6 linked regions of the Callithrix jacchus genome follow. The main gene of each other region encodes a partner of the protein of the gene in region 3 in a complex. Links are inferred from orthologs where the notes say so. Each region holds a gene or a part of one and is shown on either strand. Other genes may lie near its edges.

Region 1 (4,180 bases), on a different chromosome or scaffold from region 3:
CACTCTGGCATGATCAAGGCTGACTGCAGCCTTGACCTCCCAAGCTCAAGTGATCCTCCCACCTCAGCCTTTCGCATGCCTGGCTATTTTTTTCTTTTTCTTTTTTTGGTAGTGACAACATCTCACTACGTTGCTTCGTTTAACAAAAAAAGGGAAGAAGGGCGGGGGCAGAATGGAGGACACAGACTAGAGTTCAGCTTTTACAAGTGGCAAAGGACAATTTTGATTCAACCTCCCACAGCTTCATTTGTAATGCTTGCAAGACATCTTCCATCTATTGAATTGAAAAAATAAACAAACACATATCAATATCATTAAAAATATACATGGTTAAATATAATTAAAATATACACTTAATGCAATTTTGAATATGTCATGCATTGCATGGTAGATATTCAGTGTTTAACAAAACTACTCAGAGGCATAAACTAAATTTTTTAAAATAAAACATAATTCTATCAACAGCAGTTCTCAACCTATAAGCTATGTCTCTTCCATATGGTCATCACCATCTCACCCATCTGGCAATGAGAAGAGAAAATGCTAACATCCAACAATAAGGCTATATATACCACAAAAATCAATTCAAACAAAATACTGATTTGAATCAAAAATGTATTTCTGGCTTAGCAGTGTTGGAACATACAGTTTTGATTTTGACATGAAATGACTTCCTTATTATTTTGTTGATAAAGCTTTAACTTCATTTGAGTTCCCCAAAGATCAACTTTACTAAGAACTGAAATGAAATAAGCATACTCTTACAGTGAGCAAAACAGATGACATTATGAGAATTATCATTTGTGGGAGAGCACTTCACTGAGAAATTGTTCATACAAATATGTAAAATGTACAGAATAAAATTACCTGTTTTAAAGACTTTTCTATTTCAACTCTGCTTTCAAGATTAAAAAGTTCTTTATCTTCTGACACAATTTGCTTTTCAGAGGACCCTAAAACATAACTGAAGTACAGTACAAGGTTAAAATATAAGCTGGGTGTGGTGGCATGCACTTATTCCCAGCTATTCAGGAGGTGAGACAGAAGGATCATCTGAGGTTAGGAATCTGAAACTAGCTTGGGCAACACAGCAAGACCCCAAGCAATATGCCTGTAGTCCTAGCCATTTAGGAGGCCGAGGCAGGAGGATCACTGGAATCCAGGAGTTTGAGGGTGCAGAAAGCTATGATTACAGCACTGCACTCCAGCCTGGGTGACAGAGCAAGACCCCATATCTTAAAAAAATATGTTTTTAAATAAATAAAAATAAAAAGCTGGGGTCAAGGGGAATATCCTACTAAACTACACTCAATTTTTTTAAAAAACTGAATATACTTTTACTCCAAAAAAATTTCTCAGTGTTTTCTCCTACAATTTAGAGTGTCTGACTTTTCCAATACCAAATAAAGAAGCAGGTCAAAGCAAAAAAAAAAAAATACTGGCTTGTTAGAAATCATTACTTGAAAATATATTTAACCAAACAGTATTGACTTAGTTCTGAAGTTTCCGTACCAATTTCTCTGCAAACTTAACTTTCTGAAACACCAGTTGTGAGGTAAGCATTTATATAGCACACTTACCTTTCGATGGCTTCAACACTGAGGCAAAACAAGTCTCTCTTGTAATCAAGATTCTTGGGTGTGCATCTGTACACGTAGCCAAGGTTGAGTGAGCACCCCGTGCAGTACAAAGTCTCAAGGATGCTGCAATAAAGGAATGTCTTGCTTTAGGAAACAAAATAGCAACTCATTATAATAAAAATCTCATCTTTAAAATCCATAAACACTTCAGTCTCTCAAGTATGCTATTCTGACCATATCAGATCATACATATAGGAAGGGAAAAATGATAGTAAGATATTTACAATAAAAATATAAAGACAGTCATCTCTAGACCATGATGTCTTAAGTATCAAATGACAAGGGACATACAAAAAAGTGACAAGAAAAGATACTGAGGTGGTGTTTTTCTGGAATATAAATTCCTCTATCTGGTACAAGAAAAATAATCTAAAATTTGGAAATACACAAAAAGATTCTACATGTCCTTTTAATGTCATGTTGTCCAAAAAGCCCACCAAGGGGCATTAACACATTAGGCAAGGGACAGGAATTTTTGGGTAACTAAATGTAACAAAGCAGAGAATAAATATTTTAGGTGTGCCAGCCATATGGTATCTGTCACTACTCACCTCTGCCACTGTAAAACCGAAGCACCTATAGACAATACATAACTGAATAATCTGCATTCCAATAAACTCGTATTCACAAATGGGTGCCCAGTCCATGGGTCACAGTTTACCAAACTCTGCTCTAGTGGAAAGTAATACTGTTTGGCTTAATAAAAACAGACTCTCTGAAGTTAGATGACAGCCCATGTAATTGTTCCTTCATTCTCATTATCTCTCAACTCAGGTTCCACACACTTGAATATACCCTCCCATAAATCCTATTCATGTCTCCTTAAAATCTGGCTTAGAATCCAGCGTCTCTCAAATGCCTTGTTGAACTGACCCATCCAAATTTACCATTGTATAAATACACTAAAATTACCATTCCAACACATAGCAAAGTGATAACTGGAGATTTAAATACTATTGCAAAAGTATTATAACTCCTACTCAGTACGTGAAACACTTGTAATCACTAAATATCCATTCCTATCAGGCAAAACGGAGTGATTATAAACTACATCATTGTTTACTTACAGATACTAAGATACAGGCACTGTTATTTATTACAGCAACATATGGAACAAAGAACAAAATGGAGCACCACCTGATTACATCATGAATGCTCACTGATTATGTGATTAGCTAGTAATACGCCACTGATTACATATTAAGTGTCCATGGGCTTTTATAAGTTTCTATACTTTTTTTAGTTTTACAGTATAAATAGTCTCACTATGTTGCCCAAGCTGGTCTCGAACTCCTAGCCCCAAGCAATCCTTCACCTTGGCCTCCCAAAGGGCTGAGATTATAGGCATGAGCCACCATACCCAGACAGCTTGTATAAGTTTTTACATAAGAAATATAAAAGCATGCTGACAAATCCCACCTATATTACTCACAGTTAACCAGCAAACCTCCATGCTAAATATCAAACCTCATTACCATTATGAGACTGCCTCGCACCATTACCAAGATTACAAACTAATATCTAACGTAAGTGTCATCAGCCAAGAAAGGACACTTAGAGAAACCAAAGGCTTGAATTCCCCAAATAGACTGAGCCATGGATAAGACTGTTCTATCCTGAGCTATCAAAATCAACCTAAACACCACCAAAAATAGGAATGAACCCGATCATACTTCTACAACCATCTTTTAGAGCAATGAAGAGACGATAGCTACTATTAAGCCAGCATCTTTCTGCTTTCAGTTGGCAAGAATTTGGCCAGAATTCACCCTTTTCCTTGAACAATAACATTGAGAAAGCAGTGGCAACAATCTTAAGGTAATTTTAGACAAGGAATAATTTGATCGTAAGATTCTCAACAAAGGACAGAGTCATACTAAACAGAGGAAACAGCACTGCTACGTTCACGACATACTTCTAAAGCCAACAGTGCTCTTGCTGACCATCAGCAGAATAGCTCAGGCAGGTATTCCGCAGGATGGGCTTATGGAAAAATTCACAAGCATCCCAAAGCAATATGGGAGTGTGGAGCACACAACCCTAGTGAAGTCCAACACAACTGAAGGCAGCATAATCGATGGGTTTAGGTGACACAAACAAACCGTATTAATGGCTCTGAGTCAAAGAGAGTGAATTCTCTATCAATCCTGATTATAAAAAAGAAGAAAGGCTGGGCGCGGTGGCTCACGCCTGTAATCCCAGCACTTTGGGAGGCCAAGGCGGGTGGATCATGAGGTCAAGAGATCGAGACCATCCTGGTCAACATGGTGAAACCCCATCTCTACTAAAAATACAAAAAATTAGCTGGGCATGGTGGCGCGTGCCTGTAATCCCAGCTACTCAGGAGGCTGAGGCAAGAGAATTGCCTGAACCCAGGAGGCGGCAGTTGCAGTGAGCCAAGATCACGCCATTGCACTCCAGCCTGGGTAACAAGAGCGAAACTCCATCTCAATAAAAAAAAAAAAAAAAAAAGAAGGAAAAAGTCTTGGTTTGGTGCTAGACTGTCTTTGACACTTGTCTCACAGTTGCAAATCTTTTAA
Region 2 (4,682 bases), on a different chromosome or scaffold from region 3:
CTGAAAACAGATCCAATCTGTAATGGACATGTAGAAGTGTATCCATTTAAAGGCAGATAATAGTGGTCACATAGAAAGGCTCAAAGAACCAGCACAAAGATTTCTGTTGCCTAACATCTTTGCCCCCAATTCACGCAAGTAGTAGGATAAAGATTGGGTAGCCAAGATTCTGAAAAGCCTTCAAATTCCACTTCCCCTCCCAAAGATGCAGAAAGTTGCTCTAAGATACCTTTTTCCCACCATGTGATAAATAGCAACTCAATGTAAGTCAAAAAAAAAAAAAAAAAAGCAGCCAATATTTGCCAGGGGTTTGTTAAAGACAGAATAAAGAGAAAAAAAATAGTCTACAATTTCCACTGACCACAGAGGCTTTGCAGAGTAAATAAATTAAAAAAAAAAAAACACTGGGTCTAGATAAACCAAGACAGATCTGAAGCTCCATTTCCTTCCTAGTTAAAAGAACAAAATAAATCAGCCTCTGATGAAACACAGACATTAGTGGAGACTAAATAACTGGTATCCCTCAAGTGAAGGAAAGAATAGTTTGTCCTGAAGCCAACCAAGCACATTTGTTGACCTGACAGACGGAGGTCACTCATTGTCAGTTCCCTCTAAGACTGGATAAAGTATGTTTCTCTTTTCATCAACTGCTTAAAGTTGTTTGGAAAATCTAATCCTTAAAACTTATTCTAAAAGCTGACAAATGCTGATGTACTAGGAAAAAAAAAATGTTTTCAACATGAAGACAAAGGAATGGGAAAACCATGTAGGAAAGGGCTGGCCATAGCATTTATAGTACAGTCATGTACTGCATAATGATGTCAGATCACACATATGGAGGTCCCATAGGATACCTTATTTTTACTGAACCTTTTCTATATTTTGATATGTTTAGATACACAAATACTTATCACCATGTTACAACTGCCAACAATATTCAGTAAAGTAACATGCTGTGTTACAGGTTTGGCGCCTAGGAGCAATAGAATATAACATATAGCCTGGGTTTTTATAAGTACACTCTATGATACAGGCACAGTGACAAAAATCACCTGAATGTATTTCTCAGAACATATCCCAGGCAGTTATAAGTGACACATATAAACACAGAACTGAAGCTAAACAATTGTTATGTATATGATCCTGAATATAACTACTCCTCCTCCTCCTCCCAAAAGATGGAACGTTCTTGTAAGAATTTACTGTATTGGTAACAATAGTAATAGCTATTACTATGAAGGGGTCAAAAACCCCAGAGCACACTAACCAAAACTGGGAGACAGAATTCGGCATAAAAATAGAATTTTAGGGGTCCAAAGTGGCTCCCGCCGGAGGTCGTGGTGCTTGCGAAGGCGAATTCATCAGTTCAAAGCTAACCTGAGCAACCTTATAAGCTCAAACTGATTGGCAAAAAAAAAAAAAAAAAATAGAATTTTAAGTTAAGAGGTAAATGATACACTTGAAATAAGTACTCAGCACCTATGACAAAGGATTAATTTACATAACATTCAGAGACCTACTGAATCAATTAAAAAAAAAATGTTCAAAACAGAAAATGGTCACAGGACATGAAAGACAATTAATAGAAGAAATAGAAAAGGTCAATAAACAAGTAACACCTGATTTTACTAATAAACGGAGATGCAAACTGTAACAGTGAGACTTCTTTTACATATCATATTGGTAAAGATTAATTTCAAAATGCAAGTCTGTATGCCACTGACACGGAAATTCCACTTCTAACTTGTTTTTTTCTTACAGAAACACCTACATAAGAATGCAAATATATATGCATCATAATAGCCGATATTCACTGAATATTGACATGCCAGTCACTATATAATCTAACAGCAACTCTAAAGAGTTAAGTACTGTGGTTATTCCCAGTTTGAAAAGAGAGAAATTAAGGTATAGGTGGTTAAATAACCCGACCAAGGTTTACTTAACAGTAAGTGAGAAAGATGATCTAATTCTACCTCCAAAGTCTAAGTTCTTTACCAACAGGCAACATAGCGTACACAACCACTACACAGGGAAGTTCATGCTGCAGTACCTGCACCATAAAATGAAATTAAACAACCCAGATGTCCACCAATAAAGGACAAAATAAATTCCGCCACATCCATACAATTTACTCCATGTATTCAACAAAAAGATATATATGTACTTACATGGAAAAAATCCAAGAAATATTAAATTGAAAAAATGTAGCAGAACAGAACATATAATTGCATTTCTGTAAAAATAAATAAATAAATGAAACACATATAAGCATAGAGAAAAACTCTGGAAGCAAGTGAACCAAATTGTGAACAGTATTATCTCTGAAGGACAGGGTGAGGTGACCTATCATTTTTTTGAACTCCTGACTTTAAATGATCCACCTGCCTCGGCCTCCCAAAGTGCTGGGATTACAGGTGTGAGCCACCGCGCCGGACCATTTTCTAAGTAATTTTATTAATATCTAAAGCTGTGTTTTAGAAGAAAACATAAACTGAATGGATGAACTTCTTCTGTAGCCCTGGGTCCCCAAGGGGAAGAGTTGGGTACTAGGGCACACAATTTTCCTACTTGGTATTCTTTTTTTTTTTAAGTGACTTTAGAACAAAGACCTAGAACGCTCACCATAGAAATAAATGTGAGCAATCGTGTTCTACTCTGCAGTAGACACGCAACAAATAAACATCGAGTGCGCAGCTGTAAAATCAGTACCAAAGCTAGAAATCTACGAAAATTAATAATAAAACGGCGTGGGCCGAGGTGCTGAAAGGACAGGCCGCCCACCACCGGCGGGGACTCGCGACGGGAGGCGAGCGAAGGACGCGAGGAGGACGTACCTTGGGTGAAGGGCCTGGTAGGGCGAGACTGTGGTAGTGCAGGCTTGGCTCCGCGCGGAGGGAGGGCCGGACGCCGCGGGGCTCTCGTCTCAGGCCCACGGTGGCCCCTGCCCGCGACGGCCGGGCCCCAAGCGACGCTTACCTACTCCGCGAGGTTCTCTAACACCCACAACACTTCCGCAATTCAAATTTGAAAAGCCCGCCCTCCAGTCAGCCTGGGATTGGTAGGGTCGGAATTGCGCCACCGTGCGTCTTACTGGGACGCAGGCAAATTTCTGGCTGCCTCCGCACTCGTGGACCGTAGTGTTTCCACAAAAAGTAGGCGACCATAAGCTGTCACAGACAGGGGCGAGCTAATTCGTTTCGTCTTCGCAGCGCACGCGCCCAACTTGAATGCCCTCATTCCTCAGGTGATGCTCTGTCGCTGCAAGGCTGACGTCGGAGACGCCGCAAGCCGCGCGCGCGCTGCTGCGGTGAAGTTTGGCCCTTTCTAGCTGCCGTCCTCCCCTACGGGCTGTGCGCAGTAAAGGCTGCTATCCCTCCCTTCTATCGCCGGAAATCTGCGTGCTCCGTGGGTTTGAGAGAACTTATGTTTTTCTCAGTCCTCCATGTTTGAGGCGGATAAAGAACATTTTGTTTTTGAGGGAATGATGGATTGAATGTAAAGTTACGCACAAAGTGGGATGTTTAGTTTGAACGGTTTCCACAAGAAGTGTGATTTGTGGGGGTGGGGGTGGGGTGTGGGGGACAGGGTCTCTCTGTGTCGCCCAGGCCTGAGTGCATTAGTGCAATAATGGTTCTACTGCAGCCTGAAACTCCAAGGGATCTTCCCACCTCAGCCTCCCAGTATCTTTAACTACAGGCGCGCGCGACGAGGTTTCGCTGATTTTAATTTTTTTTTTGTAGAGAGCAGGTCTCACCATGTTGCCCAGGCTAGTCTCGAACTCGTGGGTTCAAGCGATCTTCCCATCTCGGCCTCCCAGAGTGCTGGGATTACACAGGCAAGCAACTGCACCGTGCCAGGAAGTGATTAAAAAGATTTTTTTTAATCACCTCTCATTCTAGAAACATTAATCTTGACAACTCTAGGTTGCAGTATGCAGTTTCTAACAGTGGCTTCCAGGCTGCGTCCCTCGTTAGACTGCGCCCAATGAATCTGCACTCTTAACCACCGCAGGTGTATCTTTTGCCTTGTATAGAACTCGTTGGTTCAGTCTTGAAAGTAGAGAAGTGGAAGCCAGGGTAATAAGGCGTGTTTTCAGCCCCAAATTCTGTCCGCTTCCAATCCTGCATGAAATGTGCCCTCTTCCACCGCTCATCCGCATTTGTGACAAGTGAGTTTCTTTTTATTTTATCGTTCATCTAAGAAAATTGGTCAGCTTCCTGGTCATATATCACATTTTCCTGTTAAGACTTAGAGTCCTATACTGAAAAGATTGTAATGGATTAATTTTTTTAAAGTGACTTGCAATCCCTCCTAAGTCGTCCTATATCTACACCGAATAATCAGAATCCAAAATATAAGTATAAAACATCCACATGACTGCAAGTAATGAAAAACAACAGTTGGAGGTAGGGGAAAGGAAGCAAATTTACTTGAATAAAATGAAGTTTCTTGCTTGTACATCATAATGAGAAAATGGTTGGACATGGATTTCCACTAGGTTTGTGGGAAAAGCCCGCCTTAAAACAGGTTAAATGGCGTGTATGAAATATACTTTGATAGAGGAAGTTTGAAGGGATTGGCATTCCGATTTCAAAAGCATCTGAAATTGAGGTTTCTGTGCCCGATGAAGATGGTCGTGGCTCACACCTTTAGACAAAATAGGAACCCTGAAATATTAA
Region 3 (4,736 bases):
GTGAAAATTCACTGAGCTCTATGTACAGTTATGATATGTACATTTTTTTCTGTAAGTGTATTAAATTTCAATAAAAAGAATAATTCACACCATGGGGGTACAAAATAATTTTTCAAAGTCTTCCTTTTATTCAGCTGACATTTTAGTAAGTACCCTTTTTTTACCAAGCACTGCTCTGGGAGCTGGGGACATGAGGTGGAAAGGACAGCATCATTGTCCTCTTTGTCCTTTGGCTTAGCTGCAAGGCAGGTGAAGGATCCTTATAATATGGTTGATTTTTGCTGGGCTCTAATGGATTGGAGGGTGCTAAAGAGACACAGAGAAAGAGCCTCTAACTTGGGTATTTTGCTGTTCCAGAGTTGCCACTCAAGTACCTACAGAAGCTAGAAGCCAGACAGGCAAATGGACAAAGGGGTATAGCTGGTAACTGGGGCAAACTGAAAGCACGTAGGCACAGAGTAGCTAGCACTTGTAATTTTTTCAGGAAAAGCCACATATCCTAATTTTTATGAGCTCTTCTTTTAAATGCTGTAAATGTTTTAGAAGGGCTGGGTGCGGTGGCTCACACCTGTAATCCCAGCACTTTGGGAGGCCGAGGAGGGCAGGTCACTTGAAGTCAGCAGTTTGAAACCAGCCTGGCCAACATGGTGAAACTGTCACTACTAAAAAAAAAAAATGAGCCGGGCCTGGTGGTGGGCTCCTGCAATCACAGCTACTTGGGAGGCTGAGGTGGGAGGATTGCTTTCAGCAAGCCAAGGTTACAGTGAGCCGATCGGGCCACTGAACTCCATCCAGCCTGGGCGACAGAGGGAGACTCCATCTCCAAAAAAAAAAAAAAAAAAAAAAGGAGGCCTAACAAAACCCCGCAAGACACATTGGCTATGACCTACGAGTTTGTTAGGCATTTTTCCAACCTTACCTCCCTTTGACCAAGAAACAGTGTCCTCCATTTTAGGCCCTGGGAAATTCAGCAGCGAGCAGGCCAGACAGCTTCGTTGCATCATGGGGGGCTCTGGTACTGTGCTTCTCCAACTTCAGGATGTGTAGGAATCACCTGAGCAGTCTTGTTGAGAGGCGGACTCTGACTCGGGAGATCTAGGGTAGGGCCTGAACATTTGCCTTTGTGGTTCTAACAAGCTCTCAGGTGATGGGGATGCTGCTGTTCCCTGGCCCCTCCTTTAAACAGCGCTGCTCCATAATCTTGAGGAGCTCAAAAGCAGCAGTTATTTGAAGGAGCAGGACTACAGTACTGGCCATGAAGGTATGTTTGGCAAGCACACTTTTACTTAATTTTAATTCATTTGGGGTGGCTTGGCTGAGAGCTGACAGCATCGGAGGCGAGTGTTAAGGCTCTCCCAAACTACTTTATTGGCGTGCCAGGTCCCTACTCAGCTTACATACTAGGTGGGGTGGAGGTGGAGGAAAGTCTAAGGAAAAGCTTAATGGAGGAGGCGCAAGTGAACTGCAGGAGCTTTCCCGGACGCCCAAGAAAGGGAGAAACCCTAAAGAAATTCCTCCCTTCTCGGGCCGGGTCTCCGTAGCCACGCCGGGTTTGGTTTCCCAGGCTATCCCACGTGTTCGGGTGTCCCTGTCAATCAAGTTTTCCCCGGCTGGGTCGGGGTTTAAAGGCGGCTGCGGGGCAGGGCGCTCCCATGGTTCCGCGCGGCGAGCGGGTTTGGATTTTAAATCCCCGCGACCAATCAGTAGCGCGCAGGCTTTTGTAACGTTCCCAGCGCCGCGTTTGAATTCGGGGAGGAGCGGAGCCTCTGCTCGGATCGAGGTCGGCAGAGCAGCTCCGAGAGCATGAGTGCGGCGGTGACTGCGGGAAAGCTGGCACGAGCACCGGCCGACCCTGGGAAAGCCGGGGTTCCCGGAGCTCCAGCGGCGGCCCCACCAGCGAAAGAGATCCCAGAGATCCTAGTGGACCCACGCAGTCGGCGGCGCTATGTACGGGGCCGCTTTTTGGGCAAGGGCGGCTTTGCCAAGTGCTTCGAGATATCGGACGCGGACACCAAGGAGGTGTTCGCGGGCAAGATTGTGCCTAAGTCTCTGCTGCTCAAGCCGCACCAGAAAGAGAAGATGTCCATGGAAATATCCATTCACCGCAGCTTGGCCCACCAGCACGTCGTAGGATTCCACGGCTTTTTCGAGGACAACGACTTCGTGTTCGTGGTGTTGGAGCTATGCCGCCGGAGGGTGAGTGTCGCTGCTAGGGAACTGGAATTGCCTGCGGGGCAGTTGGAGAGCCTGGACCTGGAGCAGCTGCTGGAAAGAGTGCCCAGGAAGGGAGTGCCTGGGACTTGGAGCTGGTTGAGAAGGGTGCTGGGAGCCTCCCGCTTAGGTATGGAAAGTGTCTTTGGTAAGGGCTTCTTGCCTCTTGGAACTGCTAGAAGAGTGGGTTCCAGTGAAGTGGAGTCTGAGTCAGGTTGCTGACCGGGAAGTCAGCTTCTGGACGCTGGGGGGAGGGGTGCTGGTAATGGACTCTAGGGCCCTAGAGTGCCCAGGGAGGAGTCCCAAGGTTAGTGAAGCCGCGCACTGGGAGCTTCCGGAGTGGGGTCTGGTCAGTAAGGAGGTAGTTGCAATCCAGACTTCGGTCCTTCCCGGGGAAATAAGAATCAGGAAAGGGATCTGCTGCTGGGCACTCGGAGCTTCCGGAATGGGGCTGAGAGAGGACCCCCAAGTAAGAGAGGAAGCTAGGGGAAGGGGTGCAGCGAATGGTTGTGAGTAGTGTTAAAGGAGGGTCCAGATAGCAATTGTCCTGGAGAATGGGGTGGGGGCTTAGGAAAGGAGAGAAACCCACCAAGACGCCACTTTGATCCGCCAGGAGTCTAGGTCCTGTTCTTCCTTTACCTAGTAGTAACCCTCTCCCTTCCCCACCGGCCTCAGCACCACCCTCCCATCCCTCCTGCCCTCTCCTTCCCACCCACAGTCTCTCCTGGAGCTGCACAAGAGGAGGAAAGCCCTGACTGAGCCTGAGGCCAGATACTATCTGCGGCAGATTGTGCTTGGCTGCCAGTACCTGCACCAAAACCGAGTTATTCACCGAGACCTCAAGCTGGGTAACCTTTTCCTGAATGAAGATCTGGAGGTGAAAATAGGTGAGTTGCTGAGCCTGCAGGGTGCTTGACATCCCTACAAGAGGCTGGAATTTGGAGGAGGCTGGGAGAAAGGATAGGAAGGAGACCAGGAGGAAGGAAGAGGATGGATGGTGAGAAGTTTGGGCGTTGATTGCTTCTATAATTCTCTCCTTTGTCCAGAAATTTAAAACAAACGCCCACAAGTCAGTATCTTGCCTGAAGACACATTATAGCCCCAATACAGGACTTTTTTTCAAATAATTTGAGTTTGTTTCTATTTTTTAAAGTGGAAAGCTTGACATAAAAATTTTGATTCAGAGCTCCTTTTAAACAGGTGAAAGCTCCAGTAATACGAGGGCGGCATTTTCTTAGGGCAGCCCATTGCTGGGCTGGAAAGCAGCTGTCCCTTCTGACATGTTTGCCAAGGTCTCTACTCCTCCCTATTCTTCACAGGCTTGCCAAGTCTTGGCGGTTACTTGCTTGATTCTTGAAGGCACTGGAGTTTTGCTGTCCCTGTCAGTTCCCATTTTGAAGCATAGCCCCTTTCTAAGGGGTAGGGTTGTGAAGGGTCACTGGAGGCACCTCCCTGAGGTCAGCATGGCAGGAAGATTTCTGGGCAAGCCTTGCGGCATACAAGGAGCAGAGGCTTGTGGGATCAAATGGCTCTGCTTCTTGATGGTCAAACCTTAACTAGCTTTCTGCATTGACAGATGGCAGAGGCTGGCATTTAAGTACCCATTCTTCCTCCCTCTGTCCCAGGGGATTTTGGACTGGCAACCAAAGTCGAGTATGACGGGGAGAGGAAGAAGACCCTGTGCGGGACTCCTAATTACATAGCTCCCGAGGTGCTGAGCAAGAAAGGGCACAGTTTCGAGGTGGATGTGTGGTCCATTGGGTGTATCATGTAAGTTGGGAGTTGTCTTTGGATCTGCCTGGTCTCAGCAGGGGCAACTTTGGGACATCCTACTTGGCTGACCTTTTCTATGGACCTTTCTGCCTGCTTTACAGAAAGCCTATTCTAGGGGACAAGTGACCCCCAAACGAAGCCTAATTGCTGTATCTTTCCCTGTCACTGGTGTATCCTATCAGATTTCTGCAGCCTAGGCCATGGGTACAGAGGAGGAGGAGGAGGAGGAGGAGGAGGAGGGGGAGGGAGGAGGGAGAGTCTTCACAGCCTTACTTTAGTCCTTTGCTAGAGTGGTCCACAGGGCAGCATCACCATCATCTGGGAACTTGTATGCGGAATCTCAGGGCCCAGACTACTTACTGGATCAGAATCTGGATTTTTAACAAATCCCTTGGTGATTTCCATGCACAATAAGGTCTTAGAAACACTGATGAGCATTAGCATGGTGGGAGAAATTAGGCCAGGAGTTACAGATGGCAGGATGAGGTGCCAGTGGTCCCTCTGGATTGAGACCATCAGCTGCGATTGGTGGCAGGCAGAGGCTTGGGCCTTTTCAGGTATTATCTTTGTTTTTGGCATAGGTACTAGAGAGTTAGAAATAAGTCATAGCGATGGCTTTCATGTGTCTTTGAGGTGGGTTTGTTTTTAATGAAAACTTGAAGCCTTAAGTACAGAACTGCTAAAGGTGGAGCTGCTTCTGTAAGTGCAGGTAGCCCTTTGACGTGTTTTGCAAGGCAGGCAGCCTCTGAGGC
Region 4 (4,655 bases), on a different chromosome or scaffold from region 3:
TCTTACCTGCAGCCCCAGCTTGCACAGTGATGGGGTCAGCGAGGAGCAAGCAGGGGTACTTTTTTCAGAGTTGGTGAGGGCACCGGGCTGCAAGATAAGTTCGCGGAGAGGAGTTCTCATAGCTGGTTTTCCCTGAGAAAGAAAGCAAGAAAGAGGGCAAGTGTGAGGAAGGCTGGGCTCTGCCAGCCCACCCTTCCTCCCTCCCTAAGAAACTCAAGAAGCAATTAAGAGAGTAGGCTTGAGCTCAGGGTTGTAGCTCCCAGTGAAGGCTCAGGGAGTAAGTGGACGCCAGACTTGACGAATTTTTGTTGCCTACGGACCAGGAGATTCCCAGCAGAGGAGCCCCATGGGTCACCAGCGCAACTCTTTTGGCCGGCGCGGCTGTTTTGCCGGTGTCCCATTGCAGAGGTTCTCAGTGTGGAGTATGCGGGACTGGGTGCCCTTTTAGTTGGCATTTGGAGCTCCAAGAAGGCAGAGTCACCCATTCAGCTGATTGAGAGGGGGACTGAAGCCGGGAGCCAGACCGGGAGATTCCCAGGCAGAAAAGCGCCACGAATCTCAGCGCCGCTGTTTCAGCCGGCATGGTCGCAGCACAGGAAATTGCATAGATCCCGGCACCTTTTTGGCAGGCGACTGGGGCACCTGGGAGAGAATCGACCGTTCAATTAGGAAAAGAAAAAAAAGGGGGCTCCGAGGCAGGGGAGCCAGGTGATCGGGCTTGGCTGGTCCCACCCCCCACAAAAAAACAGCAATTGGAAAAGCTGACGCTTGAGAGTTTCACAGCAAGCACAGCTGAACCCGGGAAGGTCCAGCTCTGTGGGGGAGGGGGGTCCACCAAAGGAAAACAAAGAAACAGAAATAACATCACCACCAACAAGCTGGATGTCCGCTCAGAGACCCAATCTGAAAGTCAGCAATTACAAAGACCACAGGTGGCTAAATCCACAAAGATGGGAAGAAACCAGCACAAAAAGGCTGAAAACATCCGAAATCAGAATGCCTCTCCTCCTTCAGGGGACCGCAGCTCCTCATCAGCAAGGGAACAAGGCATGATGGAGAATGAACGTGATGAATTGTCAGAATCAGGCTCCAGAAGGTAGATAATAAGAAACTTCTGTGAGCTAAAAGAACATGTTCTAACCCAATGCAAAGAAACTAAGAACCTTGAAAAAAGGTTTGACGAAATGCTAATGAGAATAGACAATTTAGAGAGGAATATAAGTGAATCAATGGAGCTGAAAAACAACAGGAGAACTTTGCGAAGTATGCACAAGTTTCAACAGTCGAACTGATCAAGCAGAAGAAAGGATATCAGAGGTTGAAGACCAACTCAATGAAATAAAATGAGAAGACAAGATTAGAGAAAAAAGGACAAAAAGGAATGAGCAAAGTCTCCAAGAAATATGGGACTATGTGAAAAGACCTAATCTACGTTTGATAGGTGTACCTGAATGTGACAAAGAGAATGAATCCAAGCTGGAAAATATTCTTCAGGATATTATTCAGGAAAACGTTCCCAACCTAGCAAGGCAGAACAATATTCAACTCCAGGTAATAGAGAGATATTCCATAAAGATATTCCTCAAGAAGAGCAACCCCAAGGCACATAATTGTCAGATTCACCAGGTTTGAAATGAAGGAGAAAATGCTAAGGGCAGCCAGAGAGAAAGGTCAGGTTACCCACAAAGGGAAGCCTATCAGACTCACAGCAGATCTCTCAGCAGAAACCCTACAAGCCAGAAGAGAGTGGGGGCCAATATTTAACATCCTTAAAGAAAAGAACTTTCAACCCAGAATTTCATATCCAGCCAAACTAAGCTTCATAAGCAAAGGAAAAATAATATCTTTTGTGAACAAGCAAGTACTCAGAGATTTCATCACCATCAGGCCTGCATTACAAGAGCCTTTCCAAAAATATACCAAAAGATAAAGAGCATCAACATAATGAAGAATCTACATCAACTAATGGGCAAAACAGCCAGCTAGCATCAAATGGCAGTATTAAACTCACATATATTATTATTAATCCTAAATTTAAATTGACTAAATCCCCCAATCAAAAGACACGGACAGGCAAATTGGATAAAAAGCCAAAACCCATCGGTATGCTGCATCCAGACCCATCTCATATGCAAGAATACACAAAGACTCAAAGGGATGGAGGAAGATTTACCAACCAAATGGAGAGCAAAAATAAATAAATAAATAAATAAATAAAAAGCAGGAGTTGCAACTCCCACCTCTGAAAAAATAGACTTTAAAGCAACAAAGATCCAAAGAGGCAAAGAAGGACATTACATAATGGTAAAAGGATGAATGCAACAAGAAGAGCTAACGACCCTAAATATATATGCACCCAATACAGAAGCACCCAGATACATAAGACAAGTTCTTAATAACTTATAAAGAGACTTAGACTCCCACACAATAATGGTGGGAGACTTTAACATCACATTGTCAATATTAGACAGATAAACGAGACAGAAAATTAACATGGATGGATATCCAGGACTTGAACTCAGACCCGGAACAAGTAAACTTAATAAACGTTTATAGAACTCTCCACCCCAAATACACAAAACATACATTCTTATCAGTACCACATCACACCTACTCTAAAAGTGACTACATAATTGGAAGTAAATCACTCCTCAGCAATTGCATAGCATTTCACGGGTTTAAATGAAATATTGGTTGGCTGCTTGTTTGTTATTTTCCTCCCTTATTCCTTCCTGTCTCCATTGTTAAGCACAATTATTGGCATAAAAGAGGTTTGCAATACCCATTTTTAGACTGCATTCTGGCCTGGGCAATAGAGAAAGACTCCCATTCTCTCTCCCTCTTCCTTCCTCTTTCTTTCTCTCTTTCATTCTTTTTTCTCTTTCTTTCTCTCTCTCTCTTTTCTTTTTTTTTCCAAAAAAAAAAAAAAAGGGAGAGAGAGAGAGAGTAGGCTCGCACCCTAGTCGCGCAGGAGCGGCACGGCGAGCAAGGACTCCACAAACCCCTAACCCCAGGCTCCACCCAACTTTCCAGGACAGTCAACACGGCCGATGCCCCCGACCCAACAGCCCGGCCAGCTCTCTCCGCCAGAGCTCTCTCGATTACCGTCTGGGGCGAAGGCGACAGGCTGAGGCTCAGTTTTTTCGCCCGCCACATCTTCAACACAGAAGACAGGTTGATCACGTCTCCGACCAAGTCGAGGACGCCGCGTTCACCCGCCGTCTGTGTTTAAACCTTCTCCGAGCTTCCCAATTGGCTGCTCCAGGCCGGCGCTTCCGCTCGGGGCCGAAGCCCGCGGGTAGGTGGGCGTGGCAGTGTTGGTCACGCCCCCTATCCCGCCTGCCCCTGCGTAGTCTCGCGCTCTCCGCTGACCAAGTCCTCACCGCAGGCATCGGCGATAGGGCTGGAGGCGAGGCTGGCTCAGGACAGGGCTTGTGTCCTCACATCGGAGAAGACCCCACAGATTGCTAGAGAGTCAAGGAGTCCATCCCTCCTGCTTCCAGTGGACCCCCTCACATCCATGGTGTTCACATCCAAGTTGTCTCTGTGGATGAAGCCTTTCCTCAGGTCTCCCTCAGTCCCCTCCCGCCGCAGCCTTGACGGGAAAGAGCCGGCCAGGGAGTCTAGTAGCCGAAGCGGGTCCGAGCGACTTCCCTAGGCTTGGTGGGACCGCGTCCGGAACGGCCTGGGCTATAATGGTCTAGAAAAGCCTCCAGAGTTTCTGGGCTTTTCCTTGGACTTGCTCAGGCCCGCTATCAGTTCACTGGGATAACAGCCTACATGTATTGAACTTTGAGTGTGTGGCTGGCGCAGTGCCAAATGCCGTGTAGTAGCTCACTTAATCCGCATAAAGACCTTCGTAGTGAGAAGTACTAAAAATATCCCCATTTGAGACAGCAGGGAGCTGAGTCAGAGAGAGCGTGTGTAATTTGCCCAGCGTCCCACAGATAGTAAATGGCAGAGCCGAGCTCCTTCCCTGCCCCGCCAGCGCCTGCCTTCCGCCTCTCGGATCTCCTGTGTTCAGGAAACCTGTTGAAGGTAGGACTGCTAAATGGTAAGTATTCAGAGTGAGCCGTTTGCGATGGTGTGTGTTCCTTTGCACACTCACGGCGCCCTATTTACACTCTACAAGTCTTAATACATTGGGGGAAAGCAGCAATCGAAAGAGGAAAGAACTATGATGTTAGAAACTGAAACGTCCCTGGGGACGGGCTCCTCTAGTACTGTGTTATCCAATACCTAAGCCCTAACCATAGTGGCTTTTGAGGACTTCAAATGTGACTAGTCCCAGTGGGAATGTGCTATAAAGGTAAAACACTTTACACACTGGATTTCAAACACGTCATATGAAAAAAGGAATGCAAAATATAGCAGGGTGCGGTGGCTCATGCCTGAAATCCCAGCACCGGGAAGACAGAGGCAGGAGGATGCTTTGAGCCCAGGAGTTCGACACCTCCCTAGGCAATATAGTGAGACCTTATCTACAAAAACAAACAAAAAAGTTAAGGCCAGGCGCGGTGGCTCACGCCTATAATCCCACACTTTGGGAGGCCGGCAGATCACCTGAGGTCAGGAGTTAGAGACCAGCCTGGCCAACATGATGAAACCCCCTAACAAAAATTAGCTCGGTGTGGTGGGCGCCTGTAATCCCAGCT
Region 5 (4,713 bases), on a different chromosome or scaffold from region 3:
TTAAGTGTTATCTAAGTTACTAGCTATTATTACTGTTTCTGTAACATTAGTACAGTAATAGTACTGGTAAGTGTTAAATAGTATTTTAGTAATAATGTTAGCTATTATTACTATATTATTATTACCAGGTCCTGTATTACCTGGCCCATGTTAACCCTTCCACAAACTCTAGTCTTTTCCTTTAAATACAAATACAAAGTTTATTACTCTGAAGCCTCTGCTCCTGTTCTCAATGCCTGGCATGTTCTTCCTCAGATTTTCACATAACTAGCTCCTTCTCACTATTCAGCGTTAAGTTCAAATGTCACTTCAAACTGCTTTCCCACTTCTAGCCTCTCCAGGCCCTCTCAGGCTCATTATCCCCAATTTGAGTTTTCAATTATGATAAATGCTATGAAGAAATCTCTCATTTACTTCTGTATTATCTTTAGCCACTAGTACATGGTTCCCTTTAGTATACTGTTGCAACACATTAAAACACATTATTGTTTTAATAGTGACAGTAAAGTTCCTATATACCAGCAGCACGGTTATAGAGACATTAACTATATTAACTCTTAATCCTCATTACAGCTCAATAATTAAGTTTGGCACCATTTTTACAGAGGAAATGGTACCACCAAAAAATAATTCTCTTAAGGCAGCTAGTCAGTGATAACACCAGAATATTCTTATTCTCATTTTAGAGATAAGGAAATTTAGATTGCAAAAGCATCTTAAGTACTAATAGATAAACAAAGGCCCTAGGTAAAGGATCTATACAAAAGACTCTGGGAGTCACCTTAATGGCATTTGGAATGTCTATAAATTTTCCATCTATCGTGATTTGCATTCCTACTACTTACAACCTTTCTGAAAAACAAAAGCCTAATTGCATGAATACAAAGAACAAAAATATTTAACAAGATCATCAAAATGCAAACCACGCATTTTTCTATAATAGAAGTACTCTTTCCAGATATGCAATCTCTTTAATGGTAAAGACAATACTATAGTTGGAGGGGCAAGAAATTTTTAAAATGCTACTGATATATGGGGGGGCAAATCATATGAACTGTGAGTGAGGAGACATGGGATTTAGTCTAGACCCTGCCAACTACCCAGTGACCTTGTATAAGTCACTTCACACTTACAGGCATATTTAATCATTTGATGGGGTTGATTTCGTTTACAGTTGAGATGGCTCTTACTTAAGCTGGAAGCACCTTCAGGATAAACATCTTTTTCTGGTCTGGTTCTGGGCACTACTGCCAGCACCTAGGTCAGTAACTGTCACACAGAGCAGCACACAATAAACGTCAGCCCAATAAGAGAAGTATCTCTAAATCTCCTGTCTTCGTTTATTTGCAACATAACTACTGAACATCTCATTTGCCAGGCAGTTATGACAGACATACCATGAAGTACATTCAGGATACAAAGACAAAGATTAAGCCCCAACTTCTGCCATCAAAGAGGCCACAAAAACACCTAATTTCATGAGAAATGCTAAAATAAAGATTTGTACAGTATGCTCTGCAAGCAACTTCCAATCCAAGAGGCTATGGTATAAAATATTTGCTACAGGGCAAATTCATTTGCAAACTGAAGCCCTATTCAAATCAGTTTTGCCACAGTGTCTAGACTATTAATAAAGTATAAACAGCTTTATTAATAAAGCCTTTTTTAAAAGTAAAGCTTTAGAAAGATACTTTTTAAAACGCGAAATAATGTTCCCTAATAAATTCATCTGAAATTAGCTAAGTAAACTCCCTTTAAGACGGAAATCAGGAATAAACTTGGCATCACTAATATTGAAAGATCCTGACAATTCAGCTTGATCACTCATTAATCCGGTATACATATGGAGTTTAAAGGATTTCAGATTCGTCTCTGAAATAAGACATTTCATTCCTGCCAAAGTAGGGATCTGTATGTGCGACCATTCAGAATCCGAAAGGCATTTTCTTCCTCTAAAACCTTGAATAACAATACCCATTTCCTTACACAATTTCATCTTAAGCTCTAGACAGTATGAACAGAGTCTTCATAATCTACACTGCTTTTTTTCATTTTCAAATGTTGACAATAGCACAATTCAGAATGGGAGCTGAACATCTGAAATGCTATTTCTCCCATCCAAAAAAAAAAAAAAGTACCAAATACGCATAAAACGTAACTCCTCTTTTCCACAAAAACCAGTAACCAACAGATTTCTCCAGGTCACTCTTATTTTACCAAATTTTAATTACAAATTCATAGGCATTGAGGTTCCAGGGTAAAAAAGTCACTGCACTGCTCAGGGAAATGGCATGAGTAGTAGACGAATAGAATGCCGATCGAGATTGCAGGCTCTGAAACCTGACTGCCTGAGTTCCAGCCACTTCCTGGAGCCACAAATCCACCTATGCAATCTTAATTCTACTGACTCAACCTCCACGAGGCTCAGTTATCTCACCCGTAAGATGGGTGAGTAACAAATGAAGACCCCTCTGGTCTGTGGCCTGCAAAATGGAAATAGCAACTACTCCAAAGGGTGGTTGTGAGGATTAAATGAGACAAACCTAAGTAAAGGGTTTACTGGCACACAGTAAGTGCCTAACAAGCGGTTGCTACTGTTGTTGTTACTCACAACTACAGAATAAGGAATAAAGGGATGAAAAAAGGAAGAAAAGCCAACTCAAGAAAGACAAGCGACGTAGGGGATGAAATGAAAGGGCAAACGTGGGGAGCCCAAAGAGCCGCGGAGGGCGTGGAGAAGGCTTAGCCAAAAGTGGCAAGGGGTCCCGGGAAAGTAACTGCGGAGTGCAGGGAAGTCGATAAGGAAAACCAGGCCCGCAGCGGAGCGCCGCCGGGGGACGGACTCAGGTCGGCCGAGACAGAGGCGACACGCGGCTGAGGCGGGGCCCAAAGGCGGGAGTACCGGGCCCGGCCGGCAGGCTGCAGGCCGCGAGGGGCAGCGGAGCCCCGAAAAAGCACTAGGGAGAAGCCCGAGAACGCCCAGGAGGCCGTGGCCCAGCCCCGGGCCCGGCTCTCATTCAAGCCACCTTCCCCTTCCCCCTTCTTAAACCCCATGCGGTCCCGGCCCAGGGCCGCCGCGGCTCTGCTGCCCACCGTCTGCCCTGGATCTCCACACAGCAGGCCTAGCCTCTGGGGCTCTCGTGACCCGAGATGTGAGGGTAGGCAGCGTCCCTTACCTGAGCTCCCCCGGGTTGAATCGCTCACCGTCGCCCCCGTCCCCACCACGCTCCGCCATTACAGAGAGCCGCGTTCATCCACCCGCCGACCCGGCGTCCCCTATTGGCTAGAAAAATCGTCAATCCCTAACGAGAGAGGCGGTGATAACAGGGATCTGGGACATAATTGGTCAATCTTCCCATCAATCTTCGAGATGAGGGCGATATCTTTTTTGCTACTGGGCAAGGGGCCCGCCGACTTTGAAAGCGGTATGAAGACAGCTAGTTGATTGGTGGCTCGGGGGCTTTATGGGAAATGAGATTTTAGCAGCGAGGAATCCGCCGGTGCCCTCTCGCGGTAAGCAGAACTAGGTCCTCCCACGTTCATCTCAGCCTGCGGTAGCCACGTGTCTGTCGGCTTCCAGGACAGCCAATTGTGGAGCCATATTGGCCAGTAGTAGCTCCGTCAGAGAGCATTTCCACTGGACAAGCCAATCAAAATCGACCTCGGCCGCCCCTAAACCAATCGCACAGTTGCTGTGGAAAGCCGCTATATCCTAGCTATACAGTAGCTATATCCTAGCTATATGGAAGTCTAGTCTATATCCATGTTATTAAATAATATTATTCATTACAAGAATATCTCCCAAATTATACTAAATAGTTGCAAGTGAATAGGTGTTCTGAGTTGCTGCATTAAGAAAGGTAAATTGGGCCGGGGTGGTGGCTCACGCCTGTAATCCCAGCACTTTGGGAGGCCGAGGTGGGTGGATCACAAGGTCAGAAGTTCAAGATCAGCCTGGCCAAGATAATGAAACTCCGTCTCTACTAAAACTTCAAAAATTAGCCGGGCGTGGTGGCGGGCACCTGTAATCCCAGCTACTTGGGAGGCTGAGGCAGGGAATTGCTTGAACTCAGGAGGCAGAGGTTGCTGTGAGCCGAGAGACATCGAGCCACTGCGCTCCAGCCTGGGAGACAGAGCGAGACTACGGAAAAAAAAAGAAAGAAAGATAAGTTGGAGAAGGCAAGCCTCTTAGCGATTTACAGCTTTCGCATCTCTCCCTCGACCTCAAAATGTACCGTCTGAAATTAGCACACCTGGAATACCAAACAATTCTGAGTATTTATTTCGTTTTTCTAATTAATAAATAAAAGTGTAGGCTTTGGGGTTTCAAAGGCACAATGAAGATAAGCCCTTCTCTTAACGTCCTCAAAATATTAAAATAATACTAATAGATAAATTTTACTTGGACCTAACCATGTAGCAAATGCTGATCTAAATACTTCCCATATGTGAGCTCTTTCACAATTCAAAAATCAGTAAGAGGTGGTAACATAGTCACTGTTTATAATGAGCTTGAGGCACAGAGAAGTTAATTAACTTGCCCAAGGTCACACAGCTACTAAATAGCAGAGGCTGGTCTAACTGCAGGCAGCGTGGTAGCAAAGCACCACTCTTAAATACTATGAGCCTAAATAATTGGATCCACATAAAATCGTGTGCACAAGTGTTCACAGCAGCATTGTTCATAATAGCCAAAAAGTATTGTAATAACCC
Region 6 (4,634 bases), on a different chromosome or scaffold from region 3:
GCCAATGCCTACTTTCAACTCAATCATGTAATTAGTAAGCTTGGTTAATAATAAAAAGGGGAAGAGCTTAGCAGTGAAAAGCAAGGGCTTTTTGAATCTCTTTTAGACTGCTTTTTGATACTACCTCTACCTACCACGTGGGCAGTCACTTAATCTCCTGGGCTGTTTCCTTTGTCAAAGAGAAAGTTTTGTTTCATTGGATGACTGTAAAAAAAAATGAGAATATACATCAAAGTATGTAGGCCAGGTATGGTGGTTCACACCTGGAATCCCAGCACTTTTTTTTTTTTTTGTTCTTTTGTTTTGTTTGTGGCCCAGGCTGAAGTACAGTGGCATGATCTCAGCTCACTGCAACCTCTGCCTCCTGGGTTCAAGCGATTCTCCTGCCTCAGCCTCCGGAGTAGCTGGGATTACATGTGGGCACCACCACGCCCAGCTAATTTTTGTATTTTTTAGTAGAGATGGGGTTTCACCATGTTGGCCAGGCTGATCTGGAACACCTGACCTCAAATGATCTGTCTGCCTTGCTTCCCAAAGTGCTGGGATTACAGGTGTGAGTCATCATGCCTGGCCATTTGAGCACTTTGTGAGGCCAAGCTGGGAAGATCATTTGAGGCCAGAAGTTTCAGACTACCCTGGGCAACATAGCAAGGACCCTCTCTCTACAAAAATAGAAATAAATATGCTGGGCATGGTGGCACACCCCTGTAGTTCTAACTACTCAGGAGGCTGAGATGGGAAGGACTGCTTGAGCCCAGAAGTTCAAGCTGCAGTTAGCTATGATGGTCTCACTGCATTCCAGCCTGAGCAACAGAGCAAAACCCTGTTTCTGCAAAAAAAAAAAAAGCATGGTGTCTGGCACATAAGTGCAATTATTAGAAACTATGTGTCCCACACTTCATGGTGCCTGCCTCTGCTCCTTTTGCCAAGGGGAAATAGGCAGTGCAAGGTAAATCTCTCTACCCCTATTTTCTCAGTTATTATTGTACCTCACTTTTCCTCTACTCTTTTTCAGTTTGCAGACTTTGTGGCTCCTGCTTCCTCATCTACCTGGCTCTGTGAGGAAGATCCCCACCATTGGCTCTACTTTCCAGCTGATCACAGCTATTTACCTGTCCCAGTCATGAGTAAGGCACAAAATATTTACAGAGAACAGATGTCTTTCAGAGGACTTTCTGCTAAGTGTAATAGTGAAGATTACTTGCATTACTGCTACTTTCCAATCAATTGAAAAAAAATCGAAAACTTTGCATTACAAAGAGATCACAACACGAAGGCATTGTTTAAAGCCTCTTCTTCATCCACTTTTTTGCTTGTCTCCCTGAACCATCTGTGAGGCTGAGACTCAAATTTACATAAGAGCCAGAAACCATCAACCCAACCTCTTCACACACTAACGTCTACATTCAGTCTCTAAAAAAGACTTAAACTTTGGCTCATGTGGGAAGTGGTGGTAGTGGTGGAGACTTAATAAAAGGTGGTTTTGTCTTCCTGAAGTGGAAATGTAGGGCCGTCACATCTTTTCACCATCTGCCTGTTTCCTCCCTCCCTTTCTGTTTAACGAAAGTGTAACCACCGTACTTCTCCCCACCTCCCCGCACCTCCCCCCACCCAACGCAAGCAACTGAACCGCCTATGATGTCATAATCACAATCCCATTACCTCATCCTGCTGGGGGGGGGGCGGAGAGGGAGGATAGGGAGTGAACAGCCTTGGGCTATCCTGAGCTTTACAAAGTGTTCTGGGTGAGGGCAAATTACAAAACCGAGTGGAAACGGCCCCGCAACCATTGTAAGTCCTGGGTTTTTAAGATTCATGCCGATCCGGCAGCTGCAAGAGGGGCTCCTGGGACTCAGAGCAGGCCCTGATCGGCGCTTGGACCACACTTCCCAGCAGCCTTCACGCGGCGGACAGGTCCTTTGCAGGGGGAAGGGGGAATTCCTTCGAAGAGGTGGCCGTGGAGGGCGGAGCAGCAGAGCAGGTGATGGGGCACTGTGGCTAATTGCGTGACGCGGCCAGAACCGCGTGGGAGGCTGTAGTTGGGCCGACGGAGGGAGGGAGGCCAGGGGCGATGCCTTTGTTTACCTTCTTCCGACGGGGCCTCCCCCGCGGGTTTCAAGATGTGCCTCCGACTGGGACCGTCCACTTTCTGAGAGATTTTGAAGGGGTGACTCGTTAGTGAGGAAACCACCCCCATCCCTAAATCAAAGCGTCAGGCTACTTCCCGACAGCGCTATCTGAGAAAGACGTTGACAGAGACACCACACGGGGCTGCGGCCTCCGCGGGTGGCTCGAGGGGATTCTGCTAGCCGGAGCTGTCCCCCTACTCTCCTCAGGGACTCGTTGGTTCGCGCCAGCGCCTTTTAAGGGCACCGTGGGGCGAACGGAGCGCTCAGAGCTGCTCCGGCCGTGGCCCTGGGAGCTGGAGGAGCTGCGGTAGGTGGCAGAGGGCAGGTGGCGCTGGGGCCTCGGGGCGGGCACCTCAACTGTCCCTCCCTCCTTCCCTCTTTCCCCTCCCCCAGTCCTGCCGCCTGTGCGGCCGGGCCTCGCAGGCCGCCTCCGCGGGGAGAGCACGGGACCCGGTGGGGGAGGGGGTGGCGGAGTGCTAAGTCCCAGACCCTCCCCATCCCTTGCGTCGGGAGTTCGCTTCCCGCGGCCAGATGATGGAACCTAGTGGGAAGAGGCAAACGCCAGCCCCCCTGAGCAAGCCCTGGCGACCCCCCCCCGCCGCGGACCAGCGGACGCCCCATGCCCCACCCCGCGGGGACAGGCAGGGCAACAGAGGGATAGCTTGAAGATTGAAGGGGCCTAGCCTTTTGCTTCTTCATGGGGGTGGGGGAGGGGTGTTTCCCACTTGTCACCACTATTCCCACCAGAACCATATGGAAGAAGAGGCGGAAGGTCTCCACTTACCTGTTCGTGCACCTCCCTGCCTTCCTCATGTTTTCCTTCAGTCTCCCCAAGAGGTGTAGGGCTGGGACCTGGGGGAAGGTCCCCAAGGGATTTGTGACTCTCCTCCCTCTTGGCCTGACTTGATTCTACCTTGTCTAGGTTCAGCACAACCTCCGCATCCCTGAAACAGGAGTGTCAGGGGTTACTGCCATCCAGTAGCAGATGGGGTGGGGGTCCGATCTTTATTTTAGGGGGCTGATGGTGGAGGAAAAGCCTGGACTGAGGGTTAGGCCTGGTGGGGTTGCTGAGAGGGCCTAGCGGCCTGCTGCTCTGTGAAGGGCTAAGCCCTTGTGCCAGTTGTTAAACTGAGAAGTTTTAACTTGTTTAGTGAACGTTCAGGGCTGTCTCTACCCTTCAGATACACAAAATGGAAGGGGAAGGAAGGCAGCAAGATCGGGCTTCTTACACTTTTTTCAATGCCTGCTTGAGAAAGAGGAGGCCCCTCGCGGAGCTGGTTTGCCTTCTTTTGTGTCCTGGTTTGATTCCTTATGGCTTCCGTTCTGTTCCCCCTCTCAGCCTGGCCTGTTTTAGGAAACTCAGGCTGAGAGTATCAGTTGCGTGGTGGTAGTTGCATTGTTCCAATTACCGCTGTGTGTGGCCACATCCCAACAATTAAAATGCAGAAAAACACAAATTCACTCTATTCACCTATCCTAGAGATGATTGGGAGTTTGCTGTTGTCCAAATATCTTTCGAAAAGCTAGAGAGTTTGTTTCACTACCCTGTTCCTCCTAGCTGGTGAGCCTGAGGCCTGGGGTCTCTAGGGTAAAATCCTGCACTTAGGTTTCCTCTCTGGTTGATCTTTGAAGGCAGAGTTAAGAAACCAAGAGCAAAAGTGATATAAGCTTTAGCTTCTCCCATGAGAACATAGGGGAAGCAGCTGAAGGGAGCTCCCCGGAAGCTAGAATTTTGTTCAGGGTGGTAATAATTATGCATGAAAATGGTAGTTAACTCTAATGATGATTGACTTCTCTTGCACCTTTCTTCCAAAGAACTCCAAGTACATCCAGATTCATTTCTTTGCTCTTCCTTGTGGCCTCCTTCTGAGGTGTGAATGGGTTAGAGATGATTTCCTCTTTATTGTACAGTGGTCTGCCCCCAAGGTCACAGAAGGAAGAGCCTTCTTGGGCTTTTTTTTAGTGTGCAGGTGAGGGAGGATGGTATTCAGCCAGAGATAGACCCTGTTGCCTTCTTCATCTTACTGATATCATTACTTCTGACATTCTGAGGTCTTGAAGATTCACAAACAGAAATGAGAAATGGTAGTCTATGTGGACTCCTGATTTTTACAGGCCAGGTGGTACCTTTTGTACATTTTAGTATGTTATGTTGTTCCTGTGACAGGTTTAGATTATTCTACCTACTTTACATATGGGTAAACTGAGGCCAAGGAGTATTAAATGATTTGCCAAAACTCTCAGAAAATTAGATTTAATAATTAGATTTCTTGATCATTTGTTCTTTTGACTAGCTAATGCTGCATACAGTCTCTGGTAATCTGTCAGCCTGCTGGTCATTTCTGGGAATAGACAGAACAAAATCAAGACTGGCTTAACCTCCCCTTTTCCCTTGAGCAAGGCGCCTTGGGTAATTATGTGGGCTTGAAGCCTGTTCTCTGATGGAGTTAGTTTGCTTCTGTCAGAAATTGACCATGAGAAAGAATCTTGCTTAACTGTATCCAT

The links.
Region 1: the proteins of PLK1 (region 3) and MIS18A are in contact, whole or in part, in a crystal structure (PDB 8S30), measured with the Homo sapiens proteins. The link is inferred for Callithrix jacchus from reciprocal best matches to the Homo sapiens genes PLK1 and MIS18A. Residues at the interface, in NP_005021.2 of Homo sapiens: Lys413, Trp414, Val415, Asp416, Asp419, Leu490, Leu491, Arg516, Asn533, Phe534, Phe535, His538, Lys540; in NP_061817.1 of Homo sapiens: Ser50, Met51, Trp52, Ser53, Ser54, Met55.
Region 2: the proteins of PLK1 (region 3) and MIS18BP1 are in contact, whole or in part, in a crystal structure (PDB 8S31), measured with the Homo sapiens proteins. The link is inferred for Callithrix jacchus from reciprocal best matches to the Homo sapiens genes PLK1 and MIS18BP1. Residues at the interface, in NP_005021.2 of Homo sapiens: Lys413, Trp414, Val415, Asp416, Tyr417, Asp419, Tyr485, Ser487, Glu488, His489, Leu490, Leu491, Arg516, Phe534, His538, Lys540; in NP_060823.3 of Homo sapiens: Asn73, Ile74, Phe75, Gln76, Ser77, Thr78, Met79, Leu80.
Region 4: PLK1 (region 3) and SPAG5 share a complex: the UniProt entries of both Homo sapiens proteins name them as parts of the astrin (SPAG5)-kinastrin (SKAP) complex. The link is inferred for Callithrix jacchus from reciprocal best matches to the Homo sapiens genes PLK1 and SPAG5.
Region 5: the proteins of PLK1 (region 3) and TCERG1 are in contact, whole or in part, in a crystal structure (PDB 3Q1I), measured with the Homo sapiens proteins. The link is inferred for Callithrix jacchus from reciprocal best matches to the Homo sapiens genes PLK1 and TCERG1. Residues at the interface, in NP_005021.2 of Homo sapiens: Lys413, Trp414, Val415, Asp416, Tyr485, His489, Leu490, Leu491, Arg516, Phe534, Phe535, His538, Lys540; in NP_006697.2 of Homo sapiens: Pro101, Pro102, Pro103, Met104, Ser105, Ser106, Met107.
Region 6: the proteins of PLK1 (region 3) and CDC25C are in contact, whole or in part, in a crystal structure (PDB 3BZI), measured with the Homo sapiens proteins. The link is inferred for Callithrix jacchus from reciprocal best matches to the Homo sapiens genes PLK1 and CDC25C. Residues at the interface, in NP_005021.2 of Homo sapiens: Lys413, Trp414, Val415, Asp416, Tyr417, Tyr485, Glu488, His489, Leu490, Leu491, Arg516, Phe534, His538, Lys540; in NP_001274511.1 of Homo sapiens: Leu126, Leu127, Cys128, Ser129, Thr130, Pro131, Asn132.

What each region holds. Positions count from the first base shown.
Region 1 is NC_133522.1:38,414,446-38,418,625, forward strand, and holds part of MIS18A (protein Mis18-alpha), read right to left. Parts: intron 1,704-4,180; coding exon 1,581-1,703; intron 965-1,580; coding exon 868-964; intron 275-867; coding exon 194-274; 3' UTR 1-193. UniProt on the Homo sapiens protein: Required for recruitment of CENPA to centromeres and normal chromosome segregation during mitosis.
Region 2 is NC_133509.1:79,851,192-79,855,873, forward strand, and holds the start of MIS18BP1 (mis18-binding protein 1), read right to left. Parts: upstream 3,024-4,682; 5' UTR 2,838-3,023; intron 2,237-2,837; 5' UTR 2,225-2,236; coding exon 2,172-2,224; intron 1-2,171. UniProt on the Homo sapiens protein: Required for recruitment of CENPA to centromeres and normal chromosome segregation during mitosis.
Region 3 is NC_133513.1:24,285,242-24,289,977, forward strand, and holds the start of PLK1 (serine/threonine-protein kinase PLK1), read left to right. Parts: upstream 1-1,749; 5' UTR 1,750-1,803; coding exon 1,804-2,196; intron 2,197-2,929; coding exon 2,930-3,098; intron 3,099-3,836; coding exon 3,837-3,981; intron 3,982-4,736. UniProt on the Homo sapiens protein: Serine/threonine-protein kinase that performs several important functions throughout M phase of the cell cycle, including the regulation of centrosome maturation and spindle assembly, the removal of cohesins from chromosome arms, the inactivation of anaphase-promoting complex/cyclosome (APC/C) inhibitors, and the regulation of mitotic exit and cytokinesis.
Region 4 is NC_133506.1:105,011,679-105,016,333, reverse strand, and holds the start of SPAG5 (sperm-associated antigen 5), read right to left. Parts: upstream 3,218-4,655; 5' UTR 3,157-3,217; coding exon 3,106-3,156; intron 646-3,105; exon of another isoform or gene 619-645; intron 133-618; coding exon 7-132; intron 1-6. UniProt on the Homo sapiens protein: Essential component of the mitotic spindle required for normal chromosome segregation and progression into anaphase. Required for chromosome alignment, normal timing of sister chromatid segregation, and maintenance of spindle pole architecture.
Region 5 is NC_133503.1:44,965,675-44,970,387, reverse strand, and holds the start of TCERG1 (transcription elongation regulator 1), read right to left. Parts: upstream 3,261-4,713; 5' UTR 3,236-3,260; coding exon 3,177-3,235; intron 1-3,176. UniProt on the Homo sapiens protein: Transcription factor that binds RNA polymerase II and inhibits the elongation of transcripts from target promoters. Regulates transcription elongation in a TATA box-dependent manner.
Region 6 is NC_133503.1:36,753,466-36,758,099, forward strand, and holds the start of CDC25C (M-phase inducer phosphatase 3), read right to left. Parts: upstream 3,041-4,634; 5' UTR 2,914-3,040; intron 2,437-2,913; exon of another isoform or gene 2,395-2,436; intron 2,152-2,394; exon of another isoform or gene 2,150-2,151; 5' UTR 2,086-2,149; intron 1,982-2,085; exon of another isoform or gene 1,946-1,981; intron 1,792-1,945; exon of another isoform or gene 1,666-1,791; intron 1-1,665. UniProt on the Homo sapiens protein: Functions as a dosage-dependent inducer in mitotic control. Tyrosine protein phosphatase required for progression of the cell cycle. When phosphorylated, highly effective in activating G2 cells into prophase.